Arabidopsis thaliana: one gene and its partners. The protein of the gene in region 1 interacts with the protein of each later gene in a pairwise test. Each region holds a gene or a part of one and is shown in the gene's direction. Other genes may lie near its edges. The genes, in order: TOPP9, I-2 and AT5G19680.

What was found.
Region 2: the proteins of TOPP9 (region 1) and I-2 interact in a two-hybrid assay, tested with the Arabidopsis thaliana proteins (one large-scale study listed by BioGRID).
Region 3: the proteins of TOPP9 (region 1) and AT5G19680 interact in a two-hybrid assay, tested with the Arabidopsis thaliana proteins (one large-scale study listed by BioGRID).

Annotation. Positions count from the first base shown.
Region 1 is NC_003074.8:1,617,061-1,622,548, reverse strand, and holds TOPP9 (Calcineurin-like metallo-phosphoesterase superfamily protein), read left to right. Parts: upstream 1-1,846; 5' UTR 1,847-2,698; coding exon 2,699-2,891; intron 2,892-3,214; coding exon 3,215-3,774; coding exon of another isoform or gene 3,775-3,792; exon of another isoform or gene 3,793-3,928; coding exon 3,929-4,108; intron 4,109-4,309; coding exon 4,310-4,333; 3' UTR 4,334-4,888; downstream 4,889-5,488. Other genes in the region: RPL18 (ribosomal protein L18), read right to left, coding at 23-205, 427-555, 668-757, 1,036-1,038.
Region 2 is NC_003076.8:21,202,095-21,206,913, reverse strand, and holds I-2 (phosphoprotein phosphatase inhibitor), read left to right. Parts: upstream 1-2,097; 5' UTR 2,098-2,194; coding exon 2,195-2,211; exon of another isoform or gene 2,212-2,963; intron 2,964-3,100; coding exon 3,101-3,213; intron 3,214-3,555; coding exon 3,556-3,750; intron 3,751-3,845; coding exon 3,846-4,096; 3' UTR 4,097-4,310; downstream 4,311-4,819. Other genes in the region: GB1 (GTP-binding protein 1), read right to left, coding at 74-182, 280-383, 474-535, 610-718, 1,023-1,163, 1,255-1,347; AT5G52190 (Sugar isomerase (SIS) family protein), read left to right, coding at 4,471-4,819. UniProt on the Arabidopsis thaliana protein: Inhibitor of protein-phosphatase 1 (PP1). Binds to and inhibits PP1 activity. Acts as negative regulator of abscisic acid (ABA) signaling. Enhances the inhibition of SRK2E/SNRK2.6 by TOPP1. May promote the interaction between TOPP1 and the ABA receptor PYL11.
Region 3 is NC_003076.8:6,647,494-6,652,580, forward strand, and holds AT5G19680 (Leucine-rich repeat (LRR) family protein), read left to right. Parts: upstream 1-2,080; 5' UTR 2,081-2,169; coding exon 2,170-2,439; intron 2,440-2,666; coding exon 2,667-2,897; intron 2,898-2,979; coding exon 2,980-3,126; intron 3,127-3,214; coding exon 3,215-3,357; intron 3,358-3,441; coding exon 3,442-3,556; intron 3,557-3,990; coding exon 3,991-4,071; 3' UTR 4,072-4,553; downstream 4,554-5,087. Other genes in the region: AT5G19670 (Exostosin family protein), read left to right, coding at 1-215, 304-434, 761-1,109, 1,197-1,865; AT5G19675 (uncharacterized protein), read right to left, coding at 1,583-1,702, 1,731-1,823. UniProt on the Arabidopsis thaliana protein: Inhibitor of protein-phosphatase 1 (PP1). Binds to and inhibits PP1 activity.

The DNA of each region.
Region 1 (5,488 bases):
GCAGATTGGATAAGAGAAATACCGTGTTCTGGCCCAATGGAGCTCTGAGAGCGAGCTGGTCAAAGGTTAAGCATTCACCTCCAGCTTTCTCAATGCGAGCCCTTGCTCTCTCTGTGAACCTCAAGGCAGTCACTTTCATGGCTGGAATCTCGTGTACCCTCAAATCATCAGTTATAGTTCCAACCAAGACGGCAATCTTATCTTCCTATAATATCAGAACAAGAGGCAAAATTCAAAATCCAAAGCATAGACAATGTAGAGAATTTTGAATCAATTATCGAACACCGCCATGTTACAGACTAAGTTCACATTAGCAGATTCATAAACTGGACACTGTATCTAGGAAATGTAACAGATTCAACATGACCTAAAACTAATTTAACCATAAAGATACAGTAGAGAGAGAGGGTTTCAACGAATTAGTACCTTGCCAGTCATGAACTCCACAAGCCTAGATAGAGAAAGAGGAGCTTTGTTGACTTTGCTCATGAAAAGCCTCTTCAATATCACACCATTGAACTTGCTATTAGTTCTCCTTACCAGAAACCGGTAAAGCTGCAAAATTTCACAAACAAAATTCAGAACAATTCACTAAAATAAAATTAAAAAACCTCTTCAATTGGATAATATAAGGCAAAGGACAAAGATTGATGTTTAAAATTCTGACCTTGACAGTAAGCTTGAGGTAGACATCATCAGACTTTGGAGCTGTCCTTTTGGTCTTCTTACTCTTACCTCCGGCGATCAGATCAATACCCTGCAATAACACAACCAATCAATCTCACAAACAAGCATGAAAGCAAGATCCAATCTCAAAAAAACTAAGAGAGATAGATCGTTCACACTCTAACCCGAGACTCAAATGTCAGAAAAACAAACCTAATACACTATACAACATTTAAAATGACAGGAAACACCCACAATCTCTTAACAACAAGATTTCTGAACCTTTGATATCAAACTAACAACAGAAAATACTTGTAGAGGAAAGACAGAGAGAAATGAAGATTGAACGACAGAGGAGGAGAGAAGTACCATTGTCGTCCGGCGTTGTGGTGATGGAACCGCCGACCTTCTACATGAAAATACTGATGCTAGGGTTTTTATACCAACTCAATTTTAGGGTTCTCTTACTTCCTCCACGAAATGGGCTTAGTTATTTTCTTCCTTCACGAGATGGGCCTTGAATATAAGACCACAATAAGTTTGGACTTAAATTCTGTAATATATTGGCCCATTTATATAATTTTTATTTGTCACCATAGAAAGCCTTTCCTTTTCTTTTTCTGACCAACATGAAAAAAAAGCATTTCTGATGTATTTTCTTACAAACCTTTTATATACGTAACTATAAAAGATTAGTTATATTGATACAAGAAATAGTTTAATCATTGATGCATGCCGTCTAGAAGAAAAGAAATATTTTATTTTGCTTAGAAAAAAGAATGAACCACATATTAGGTGTAGTATACTTCATACTTGTTATCATGTATGTAAACTACTAATACATAGGTAAGTATACTTGTTTACGCAATTTTAACCTATTATTGTTGATTTCTTGTCACAGAAAGTGTTATGAATCAACTTTCAAATAAGTTAAAATTTACTCGCCCAAAAAGAAAGAAAAAGTATCAATTAATGTTACTAATCACTGTCTGTTTATATAATTAGGATGGTGTAGTGGAACATGATGGGAACCCATTTACGAATTCTAAGTATTACCCTCACACGTATACAAATATAACCATAAAACGAACTTTTCAAAAGACGCGGTTTCTCGCCCGACAACAATTACTTGAATAATTTATTTAACTACAAAGGAAATTAGTGTATGTAAGGAGCTTTGACCAGTTCCAATGAGAATCATCCACGTCTCATTCTTTTTAGGCTGGATCTTCTTCTTCCATCACCGTCCGTCCACTACCCCATAATTCTTGCCTTAGAAGGTTTCACTAATTACTTCGTCTTCGTTTTTCTATTTTGAGATTTGACAACTTCCCCTTTTAATCATGTTTTTAGTTCTGTTGGACAATACCAAATCAATTGCACTGGTTTTGCTTTCTTTATCCAATCATTTTTTCTTTTGTAGTTCATTGGATCCATTTTTACATCATGTAGAGTAGCCATTGTTACAATACCAAACAAAGTTAGAAATTGCTAAATATAATTGTTAATTGATATAATAATCGTATATAGTTAAAACTCAACTTGTTCCATTTCTAATCTTAATTATGTTTTTTTGGACCGACATCATTCTCTTAATGTAATGAATAGCCATTTAAAACAGAGTTGAAATATAAATTCCAAAAATTTCTGGCAGCAAAAGAGAGAGAAGAGAAGGAGCTATTATCTGCGCCATCTGTTTCTCCAATTAATAATCTCCTTAAATCCGGATTTGTTATTAATTCTAATCTTTTCCAATTGATCCACTTTCCTCCTCTGAGTTTTTAAGACTAATAGAGAGATATATAGAGAGAGATTGCTTCTGGTTTTGCCTTCCCCCTTTGTTTGACCTCTCTTTTCTTTCTTCCCCCCTTTGTGTTTCCCGCATTTTCTCGGGAAAATCTAAAGGAACAAAAACATTAAAAGTTTGTGATTTTCTGATTATTTCTTTATTTAATCGAGACCCATTGTTTCTCGCCTGATTTGGCGCAAACCCTTTTGGATTCTGGTGAAAAAGGTTGGGATCAGAGGAAGAATGATGACGAGTATGGAAGGGATGATGGAGATGGGTGTATTGGATGATATTATAAGGAGATTGTTGGAAGGTAAAGGAGGTAAACAGGTTCAGCTTTCGGAGGTCGAGATCCGTCAACTTTGCGTTAACGCCAGACAAATCTTCCTTTCTCAGCCTAATCTTCTCGAGCTTCATGCCCCCATTCGCATCTGCGGTCTCTTTCTCTTTCTCTCCCTCTCTTTGTGGTGATGATGAAAAAATATTGTGGCTTTTTGGTTTTGATGATTTGGGTTTGAGTCGTATTGCACGATTGGGGTTAAAAAGATGAGATTTGTAATTGGGGGCAAATTTGTGTTGATTAGGGTTCCTCTTTTTTTCTTAATGTCGAAACGTGTGTTTGAAGATTTTAGCATCTGGGTGATCTAAAAAGTTTTGATTTTGATGGATTTATGTTAAAGTTTCTGCAAATTGTTTCTAAATCTGCTGATGCTTTGTTTTATGAGGTACTAATGGTTTCCGTTTTGATCTCTAATTCAGGTGATATCCATGGACAGTACCAAGATCTTCTGAGGCTATTCGAATACGGAGGCTATCCTCCTTCAGCGAACTATCTCTTCCTCGGCGATTACGTTGATAGAGGCAAGCAAAGTCTTGAAACAATATGTTTACTCTTGGCTTACAAAATCCGGTACCCATCCAAGATATTTCTCTTGAGAGGAAACCATGAAGATGCTAAGATCAACAGGATTTACGGGTTCTATGACGAATGCAAACGGAGGTTTAATGTACGGCTTTGGAAGATATTCACCGATTGCTTCAACTGTTTGCCGGTAGCTGCTCTCATTGACGAGAAGATCCTATGTATGCATGGTGGATTGTCACCGGAATTGGAAAACTTGGGGCAGATTCGGGAGATTCAAAGGCCTACAGAGATTCCAGACAATGGTCTTCTTTGTGATTTACTTTGGTCTGATCCTGATCAGAAGAATGAAGGGTGGACTGATAGCGATCGAGGTATCTCCTGCACGTTTGGAGCCGATGTAGTCGCTGACTTTTTGGATAAGAATGATCTCGATCTCATTTGCAGAGGCCATCAGGTAAATAGACTTCCATAGTGATCAAAACTAGAACCAAATGGTCCAACTCTGTAGAAATGTTTGACATTTGTTGTATCTTGTGAATATGGGCATAAAGGAAAAGACTTTTATGAGAACCTTCCAAGATATTGACTTGTGAGGGACGTGTTTGCAGGTAGTGGAAGATGGGTATGAGTTTTTCGCAAAACGGAGGTTAGTCACAATATTCTCAGCTCCAAACTATGGAGGAGAGTTTGACAATGCCGGTGCATTATTGAGCGTGGATCAATCTCTCGTTTGCTCCTTTGAGATTCTGAAACCGGCTCCAGCTTCTAGCACTAATCCTCTCAAGAAGGTTTGTTTCCACCAAGAACTTTCAAAAGACCAAGTAGTCCTTCTTTTGATAATAATATTGGTTAGCTCGGATATACCAAAATCTGAATCCAACAAGACCAAGCCTTTTGGACTTGATGAGTCATGACAAGTTTTGTTCTTTTGGAAACTTCACGTCATAATGTAACACATGTTTCTCTCTATATTTTCTCTTTTTGATCAGGTACCGAAAATGGGGAAGTCTTGAAACTTAATACAGCTTATTCCCTTGAGAGATTTGGTTTCACAAGCTCAAGCTAGCGCTCTGTGCATTTCTTCAGATGTAGGCAAACTGCAATGGAGAAGAGAACCTCAAAAGGCTACTTTACTTAGTCATCAAAGAAGAAGCATCAGTAGAAAAAACAAAAGAGAGAGAGAGAGAGAGAAAACAAAAGGTGTTGTCCAAATATTCTGTGTATAGTTGCAGAAACATCTCTTTTCTGCTTCTCTAGATTTTCATCTCCTTTTGGTCTGTTTTCTTTTATTTGGTTATTCTTTTAACACCTTAGTTTAACTTAGAGTGCCTCTCCTCTTTTGCTTTTTTCTTTCTTTCCTGTATCATCAAATTACCACATTTCTTAATCTTTTCCATATTTGAATTGACTTCCATGGTTTGGCTCTTACTTTTGTGAATCATCTGCACAGTAAAAACAATTTCCTTTTGATTTAGCAGTACATGTCTCTCTGTGTTTTTTCTCTTCCAGCAGTAATACATATACTTTTTACAGAGCTTACTTTTACACAATGGCACGACTTGTTCTCTCTGTTTCGGAATTGGTTCTTCTTGAAACTGATTCTCCCTCTCTCGTCGAGTTTTCATAGTAGCACATTTTATTCTCAGGCTTTTGGTTTAATTTCATAGGAAGATGGTTCAATCCGGTTTACTATTAAACCGAAAAATCTAAAAACTAGATTTTTCGGTTTATGAAATCCACAAACCAAATAATATAGCTGCATACCAACCCAAAATCTCGGCAAATCAATGTTTTCCGTAAATAACCTTTTCTTTATCGATGTTGTCAGGAACATTAAGGGTAACTTAGTAATATAACAATTGCAGACGTTTTAGCGAGCAGAGGATCCCCAAAGCCAGACAAATCCTCTTCCGTCGCCGCCGCCGCCGCCGCAAGTCTCGTCGGTTAGTTTCTGAATCTCTCGTTTCTAAATCTCTGATCTTTCGTTGGATTCCTGTGTTTGAATCTCAGCTTCTCTACCTGGGTTTATGTCTCAGCTCTTGAACTTGCTTGATTTCTGCATTTCTTGTTATTTTCGTTTGTCTTTGTCTCTCGATCCGTGTGTTACCATTACTGTATATGATCGCATAATTCATCTGTGTTTTGCTTTGGGTTTATTGATCTAACTT
Region 2 (4,819 bases), on another chromosome or scaffold:
GTTCTTATCTACAAATGTATTTCAAAGGAAACCAGTTGACTGGAGAGTTGAGTTTGCGAGTCCTTTCTCGTGTCTATGAATTTGGCACAGGAGTGTACCCTGCACGGGCTCTTAATGATTCGGTTCTCTTGCTTTTCTCCATTACTCCAACCAGCCATTCTATACTTTCTTTGATTCCTCGCCTGCTCTCAACAAAACATACGTTTAATATTTCCTGCTAAAGGTGTTTCGATTGGCGCTATAAGGATCCTGTGTGTAGCTTACGTTAGATTTACTTACCCATCATATCCAGAAACTGCTTCAAACATGTACACTCTTTCATCCAATTTCTTTAAATCAAGGTATCGGTCCAGTTCCTCAGCCGATACAGCATTTGTGAGGTCCTGCTCATTGGTTACAGATTCAAAGACTATCAGTAACAACATATATTTGAAGAATTTAAGTGAAACAAATGACGCAATACAAATTCCTACTTGCTTGTTTGCCAATATTAAAAGAGGGGCTCCTTGCAAATCCTCATGCCGCAGGGCTTTTTCTGGTGAAGACAATTTATATTTTAGCTTTAGCTTCATAATGCTGTTTGGAGTCAACTTGTGTTCGGAGACTTACCTAAAGCAGATTTAGAATCTTCAAAGCGGGTTGGGCAAGCTGCATCAATCAAATATATCAACGCGTGTGCTTCTTCATAGTATTTCTCCCAAATAGACCGCAAACCAGGCTGCCATAAAGGGGAAAAGCCACAGTTATTTGATTAGAAAGACTGATCCTTGTTCACAATTAGGGTTTGTAAATCAAAACAACCGATAGTAGTTTTCAACAGGACGAAACAATCTATAAAGCAAAAAAGGCTCACGCATAAACTTAGAGAGGGAAGGAGTTCAAAGGGATCTTCCTTGTATCCTATATTTCTCATATCAACTTACAAGCATATTCTCTTTGGTGGTATAGGTGACTTGTAGGAACACATAATTAGGTACAAAGAAGAGAGATCAATGATATGAGCTAAGGCATCTCTAACTCACCTGACCTCCCAGATCCCAGAACACAATTTTAGCATTGGAGACTTCAATGCGACCAATATTAAGCCCCACAGTAGGAACAATTCGATCATGAGGAAGACCTTCCGAGATTGAGTATATCGTCTTCAGTTTCTCCAAAAATGTCTACGACATTGAAGTAAGGGCAAGTACATGAGAGGTGTATCCTCAACATTTCAGATTCGTGTAACAGAAAAGATTAAAAAGAAAGCATTACCGTCTTCCCAGCTTTGTCGATACCAAGAATAAGCACATTAAACTCAGTCTTGCTAAACATGTAACTCCATAGTCCAGACATAAGAGAAAACATCACTTCCTCTTACTTCAGCTTATTTAATTACTTTGATCTTCCCTTGTCTTTCACATGAACCAAAAATAAGAGAAGAGCTTATTATCATCAGCATCAACATAACTTTGCTTCCTTATCATAATTTGAGTAAGCATAACAAAAGCATCACACAAGTAATTGGAGATCACAAGACTCCATTCTCAGATCTAATTCACAGTTTCAGAGAAACCACTATGCAATACCAAACTAAAAAAACCACACAATTCACAAAAGGGTTCCAATTTACAACTTCAGCAAAACAGAAAAAATTAGATCTTTGGATAGATAATGGATCAAATAAAAAGCCGATAAATCACTAATACCTAAGACCCATTCACATTGTGCACATCAGGAAGATCAAAATTAGCCTAGTGAGAGCGAAGAACTAGATCAACACAAGCTCCCGAAACATGGTAAAATCATCAACAACTGAATTTTATTTTACATCGATTGAGAAACAAGAAAAATAAGATTCCAAAAATACTTACAGACTCTGAAGATCTTGAGAAGAATTAATGAAAGATCAAAGCTTTGGCTTTTGCACACTCCGTCTTCGATTCGATCGTTCTCAGGAAAAAGGAAAAAAAAAAAAACTTCTAAAGTGTATTTCCGAAACTACCCTTACTCAAGTCTTCACGCGCTTGATCAATCGAACGGGTTTGAAGTAATCCACGTGGCGGAATCTGGATGCAACAGTGATAAAAGTCAAACAAACGGACGGTTTCTGTTGCATCTTTAGTTGACCCTCGTATCTTCTTTAATCAAGAACACAACAGGTCTTAAAAACTTGCGATCGAGACAAAGAAAAAAGTTGCTGGAGATTTTGAAGATGACCGAACCAAAGAGGTAAATAAATTTTATTGTTTTGATTGTTTTCTCTTAGTTTGAATCTTTGATGATTGTCACGAAAGATCTATCTTTGATTTTAGTTTTGGTCTTTGTAGAACCAAACATAGGCTAGGGTTTCTTACAGTGTCTTTCGGGATATGTTATGGGTGAATGATTGAGGAAAGTGATAAGCTTTTGATATCAATTGGTTATTTAGGTTAAACCCTTTCTGATTGAAACCATTACTCAGCAAATTTGAGAAATTTAGGAGGTTTTTGCTTTATAGATTTTAGGATACTTTAGCTCAATGATCATGAGAGAGGTAGATACTGATTCCTGCTTCTTCGTATTTAAAGGTTTGTGATTTTGAGTGGTCAGTTATACCATTGTGTTCTTTTGTTTGGAAAGTTAGCAGATTGGATTGATTTTGATGGATTTCTTTGAAGTATGTTTCTCCTTTTCAAATTTTTACTTTCGCTTGTGTCTTTAGTTTCTATTAGATTTGAGAATGCTTGCTGCATCAGAACGGTACCTTTTCAATGTGTTCAAATAAGATCAATTGTGAAGTCAATGGGCTGTGTTATGTCATTTTTGTGGAGGGATGTATATTCATAGATATGAAGTTCTAAGCCTTATATGGCGGTCTTTTTATGAAGGAATCGTAAAACAGATATATTTTCTACTACACCCATTGAAAAAGGAAATGGAAGAGGGAGGTCTTATTGTGTTAATGTTCATGGATTTTCATATTCCAGCAGAATTGTTTAACTGTAAGATTCTGTGAACTTTATTGTCTTTAGTTTAAGGCTTAGACATCGTCATTCTTTTGTAAAGAGAGGTGATCTTTTGTATAATCTAGTATAGTTTCTCATGGAATTGTCACTAAGTATGTTTGTTATTATGGCAGGGGGCGTGTTCAATGGGATGAAGCTAATATAGTGGAGATTGAATCGAACAAACCTGTTAGGCAGAAGATTACTGAACCAAAGACACCATACCACCCGATGATGGATGATGATGGTTTGTCTATTTTTCTTTATTTGGTTTCTCTTAGTATATGCACAGAACTTTCGATACACGTTTATATGCTTATGACGTTTTTGCATTTTATTGTTGATACATACTTGTCATCATCTAAACATATATGTAAAAATGGAATGTATGTCAGACAGAAAGCAAGAGCAAATTGTATGTGAAAATTATCTGCTTTTTAATTCATCTACAAAGTTGGACGATTACTTATCTTTTTGGGGGAAATCTTGTACCTGCAATTGGTTGGTTGATTTGGAAATTTGTCACTCTAGATGTAAGGTTAACTTGAATCAGTTCTGATCTGTTCTAATCCGTGATTGATTGTGCCAGGTTCTTTGTCTCCTAGAGGAAGAGCGTTTGATGAATGTGTTGATGATATGCAACGAGCTGAAGAACTGAGGAATGTTCTGAATGATGCAGCAGCTTCTTCCAGTAGAAATAGTAGCCAGGGTTCTGGTGGTGGTGGCTGGAGCTCGTCTGATGAAGAAGAAGAAGAAGCAGATCCAATGGATCAAGATGAAGAAGGTCCTCCTCTAAAACCAAACAAATCTACTGTCATATATAGGTTCTTTTGTTAGGTCATCCCGATATATCTATTTTTTTTGTGTGCAAAACCACAGGTTCTGGAAGTGGTAAAAATGAACGTTTCAACGCACACAGAAAAGCACATTACGACGAGTTTCGGAAGGTGAAGGAACTGAGATCCTCAGGGTCATTCTATGAAGAAGAAGAGGAAGAGGATGATGGTGCAAAAGGTAGTAAATCAGAGACAACAACAAACTCACGACACACTAAAGGCGGAAACAAAGAGTTAGATGCAACCAAAACGGTATCAGGGACGTCGTCATCTTCATCCCCTGAGTTAATATAAAACCTTTCTGTTCAATCAAATGTGTACTCTGCTCCATGTTTCACAGAGAGCTCTCAATCTCAACTAATCTTGGTTTTTATCAATTTGAATCTTCCAGAAATTTAAGAAGGAAACAAAAACTCCCATCAATTATGTGATTGTCTTTTATAGCATTTTGAATGCAATTTCTTACTGTCACCTCTGTTCTTCCATGTTCTATGTTCTTACATCATATTCCAAATTTGTCATTGTATTTTTGTTTGATATGACATTAAAACCGAACCGAACCGGAATTCAATTAACCACCGAATCAAACGGTATAAATTTGTAAACGTGGTCCAAAATGCACGATATAAGATGATGATGATGATGATAAGCTGAATTATTCAACATCAATGGCGAACGAGAAAGCTCAAGAAATGGCGAATCTATCTTCTCAAATCTGCAACCAAATCTCATCTGTCTTCACAAAACCAACCTCACCATATCCACCACCGCTCGATCTCCTAGTAACAGAGCTTACCGCAATCTCCCGCAACCGCAACAACTCTCGTATCTTCCTCTACGGTGTTGGACGCGAAGGTCTAATGCTAAAAGCCTTCGCGATGCGTCTCTTCCACTTTGGTCTCCCCACTCACTTAGTCTTCGACATGACAACACCTCCAATCTCATCTTCTGATCTCTTAATCGCTTCAGCTGGTCCTGGAGGATTCTCAACCGTCGATGCGCTTTGCTCTGTAGCTA
Region 3 (5,087 bases), on another chromosome or scaffold:
ATGTGACGGTTCAAAGTCAGAAGAACGTCAAAAGCTCTATTTTAAGTGGGGGCTCCTCCATTGCTAGTCCTGCATCTGGAAATAGTTCCTTGCTTGTTTCTAAGAAAGTAAGTAAGAAGAAGAAAATGCGGTGTGATCTTCCACCAAAATCTGTGACAACAATAGATGAGATGAATCGGATATTAGCAAGGCACCGTAGAACTTCACGAGCAATGGTATGTGTGCAGCTGTCATTTCTATTTTCTTTTCACCTGTGGAACTTTAGTTATGATGCAATTAAGAGATATACTACTTCCAATGTAGCGACCGCGTTGGTCTTCGAGGAGAGATGAGGAGATATTGACTGCAAGGAAGGAGATAGAGAATGCTCCGGTTGCAAAACTTGAACGGGAGCTCTACCCTCCAATATTCCGTAATGTTTCCCTGTTTAAAAGGTAAAAGTGCAGAACTTAGAGCTAATTCTGAATTAAATTTGCTGGTAATGAAAAAGAGTAATGGTATATACACGAATTGATGAATCCTCAGTAGTATCATTAGTCCTATGTGGATGAAACTTTAGCACTACTCCTACTGTAAAATCCGCATCATATGGTCCTATGTTGAGATAATTTTCTGTTCGGAACTTAGTACTGTGAAGAGAGTAAAAAGAAAAAGAAAGCCTGAGTTCATATTATATGTTTAGTTCACAAATTCGTTCTGTTTGGTAGTGTCTTCTTATAAAAGGTAATCTTGACATATCCGATTCAGTTATGTGCCTCAGGAGTTACGAACTTATGGAACGGATACTCAAAGTTTACGTATATAAGGAAGGGAACCGCCCCATCTTTCATACTCCGATACTCAAGGGATTGTATGCATCAGAGGGATGGTTCATGAAGTTGATGGAAGGAAACAAGCAGTACACTGTAAAGGACCCAAGAAAGGCTCACTTGTACTATATGCCATTTAGTGCACGGATGCTAGAATACACACTTTATGTGCGTAATTCTCACAACCGCACTAACCTACGCCAGTTTCTTAAGGAATATACGGAGCACATCAGTTCCAAGTACCCTTTCTTCAATAGAACCGATGGAGCCGATCATTTTCTTGTTGCTTGTCATGATTGGGTAGGCATCTGTTTCATTTTTTAAAGTTAACTAATCATTTTTTCTATAGGTAACAATTTTCTATGTTGAATTTGGCTTCACTAACAGGCACCATATGAGACTAGGCACCACATGGAGCATTGCATTAAAGCTTTATGCAATGCAGACGTAACCGCAGGCTTTAAGATTGGAAGAGACATCTCACTCCCTGAAACATATGTCAGAGCCGCCAAAAATCCGCTTCGTGATTTGGGTGGAAAACCGCCGTCTCAGAGGCGGACCCTGGCTTTCTATGCTGGAAGCATGCACGGTTACTTACGTCAGATTCTGCTACAGCATTGGAAAGACAAAGACCCGGACATGAAAATCTTCGGGCGAATGCCATTTGGTGTGGCGAGCAAGATGAATTACATCGAGCAGATGAAAAGCAGCAAGTACTGCATTTGTCCTAAAGGGTACGAAGTCAACAGCCCGAGGGTGGTTGAATCGATTTTCTATGAGTGTGTCCCTGTGATCATCTCCGACAACTTTGTGCCACCTTTCTTCGAGGTTCTTGATTGGAGTGCGTTCTCGGTCATTGTTGCGGAGAAAGACATCCCGAGGTTGAAAGATATCTTGTTATCAATACCAGAAGACAAATACGTGAAGATGCAAATGGCGGTGAGAAAGGCGCAAAGGCACTTTCTGTGGCATGCTAAACCTGAGAAATATGATCTGTTTCATATGGTTTTGCATTCTATTTGGTATAACAGAGTGTTCCAAGCAAAGCGTAGATGATGTTACTATGGAGTGCTGATGGTGAAAGTTTAGACCCAATGTGCTTGTTTGTTGTGTGAGTAATGAATAGCTACAAAGTTGACTCTACCTTTGTAAATATTGACTCATAATTTTGTTCTAATTCGACTTGATGTTGGGCCTATTCATAGGTTTTCAGGCCCACCATAACAACCCTACAGGCAACAATGTTACAAGTGTGCCTGAAACGTTGACGTTTAAGTTTAAGAGAACTTCGCTTTAGAGTTTAGACCAGTTCCCCACAAAGCTCGTTGTCGTCATCGCGCGAGCTTGAACCAAAAAAACCATGAACAGTGAGAAGGAAGACGAGCCATTGGAAGAGATCGGCGATTCGAATAATGTTCTCGATCTCACTAGCTATCAGCTCCACAGTCTCGATACGGTCGAGTTACCGCCGAACCTGATTGAGCTGGACCTTACGGCGAACCGTTTGTCGGGATTGGACTCGAGGATCGCTCAGCTCTCCACGCTTAAGAAGCTTTCTCTCCGCCAAAACCTAATTGATGATTCCGCCGTCGAACCGTTGTCTCACTGGGACGCCTTGTCCGATCTCGAGGTGATTCTCGACTCTCTGATTTATCTTTTGAGTGATTTTGTAAATGGTGAAATATCTAGGCATCTGATTTTGTTTTTGGCCGTGGAACGTTATGATTTTGGCTAATTGCCTTTTGCATTTCACTTTTGATTTTCACTAGAATTGAAAATTGGCATTGATAGTCTGAGAGGCATAGTTATTTGTGGGCAGTGGATAAAGAAGAGTGTTTCTTGCTATAATTTATGCAGGAGTTAGTTCTCAGAGATAACAAGCTAGCGAAAGTACCAGATGTCAGCATATTCACGAAGCTTTTGGTTTACGACATATCTTTCAATGAAATCACTTCTTTGGAAGGAATATCCAAGGCCTCTAGCACACTGAAGGAACTCTATGTGTCTAAAAATGAAGTTAACAAGATTATGGAGATTGAACACTTACACAACTTGCAGATTCTTGAACTGGGGTCTAATAGATTGCGGGTTTGTCCCTCCCTCCTCTTTGATATTTTTTTATTCTCTTTACAGTGCTTCAGCAATGAATTTGAAAGCATTGAGGTTTCAGGTGATGGAAAATCTGGAAAACTTCACAAAATTAGAAGAACTATGGCTCGGAAGAAACCGTATCAAAGTTGTTAACCTGTGTGGGCTCAAATGCATAAAAAAGATTAGCTTGCAGAGCAATCGATTGACCTCTATGAAAGGATTTGAGGTGTGCTTCATTTACCTTTCTGCAGATATACTCATTCCTCATGCCAGCATTTTTATTTCTTCTGATGCTTGAAATATTATGTACCCAGGAATGTGTTGCTCTTGAAGAGTTATATTTGAGCCATAATGGTATCTCCAAAATGGAAGGCTTGAGTGCATTGGTCAACCTACGGGTATTGGACGTGTCGAACAACAAGCTTACTTCAGTTGATGACATTCAGAACCTCACAAAGTATTTCACCTTTCCCTTGCTTCAGACCGATTTTTGTCTTTTGGTGATTTATTTTCTCCATCCTGACTTTAACTTAACCTATAGGTTGGAAGATTTGTGGCTTAATGACAACCAGATAGAATCACTGGAAGCAATCACAGAAGCTGTTACAGGATCTAAAGAGAAGCTTACCACTATCTACCTCGAAAATAACCCTTGTGTAAGTTTAATCATAATCTTTAGTCACTTTTCATCAAAGTCTTGTCACTCAGTATCGTAGGATCTCCTATCTTTGGTTTTGCTTTTGCTTTTTGATATGGAATGTCAATTTAATGGTACACAGAGTGATCCCATTGCTGGTCTTGTTCAATGTGCATCGTAATTTAGATTATTTTTTTTCCGTATATATTGATAATGCATAAGAAACCTTGGGTTTTTCTATAAAGTTTCTTATGCATTTAAGTAAACTTGAGTACCACAACTTGGTTGTAGTTTTTTGCATAAGTCAATTCATTTATTTGGGTGAGTCCCAGTGTCTTCTATAAATTATCAATTTCTTTGGCTCAGAAGATGTGAAAAGTAATTATTTTACTGAGAGCCATTAAACGTTATCTAATATAAGTGTATCATTTTCTGTTGTCCATCTCCTCTCAGGCCAAGTCTTCTGATTATGTTGCTGCGGTCAGACAAATCTTCCCGAATGTGGAGCAAATTGATTCTAACTTATTTGCTTAGAGATGGATATATTCCTTGTCGTGCTGTTTGTATGAATGTCTGCTTCCTCATCCCATGGGCATGGGCATCGAATTTAGGAAATCAGGTACAACACGGATTCCTCAAAATATACATGTGTCTGCTGTTTATCATAAAGAAGTGCAAATGAGCAAATTAAATCGCTCTCGTCATGGATATTTATTAAAACGTTTTTGAAATTCTAGTGTTCCCTTGCAAGTAAACCAATTCTTGTTTTTGGTCTGTAATAGTATGTGGACTGTGTCTGTAAAAGGGAATCCCCGAGTCTGAAGTTGTCTTTGTTTCAAGTTTCAACCGAGAACACTAACTTGAATACTTTGATCCATATTTTTGACTTTGCCCCTTGCTTTTTTATCTTTATAGTTTCATGTGATTGTTCAGTATTGAAAGGTTGCTATATTACATATTTTACTACTTTTTGGTAACTTGTTACAAGTTTTGGGCTTCTAATCTTTCTTTCCGACAGAAGTACTTTTTGTTAATGAACTGAAGAAATTTGCTGTATAAAAGAAGGTACAAGAGTGGTATAAAAGAAAAAGAAAAAAGTCATTTCACCAATACAGATCTGCACTTCTGCAATCACATTCTCTAGAGAGTTAGCCGCAAAGTATCACCTTAAATTATCTTACGTACCAAAATATTAATGGAAGTAGTCTATGTTTATACTAAACCGATTTGAACCGAAAATGTTTATAATAATGGTGGTATTTTGAATTGAGGTTTTGGTTGACCTGATATTTCATCGGTTTGGAAAGTCAACTTCTCTTTTATAGTCGCTCACCGGTTTGATTTGATTGATATTTACATCACGCAAGAAAACCGGATATAGCTTAAGATGACTTGTAGCGAATGAACACATGACATGTGTTAATTCCACGAAGGCTGGGTCAGTCGTTTGTTTACTAGTTACCGCAGCTCAAACATGTAATTCCCGTGAGAGATTGTTTTGCCGGAGATAGTAGTTTTCGCGTCTCCAAAAACCCTTCGACCTTTGCCGG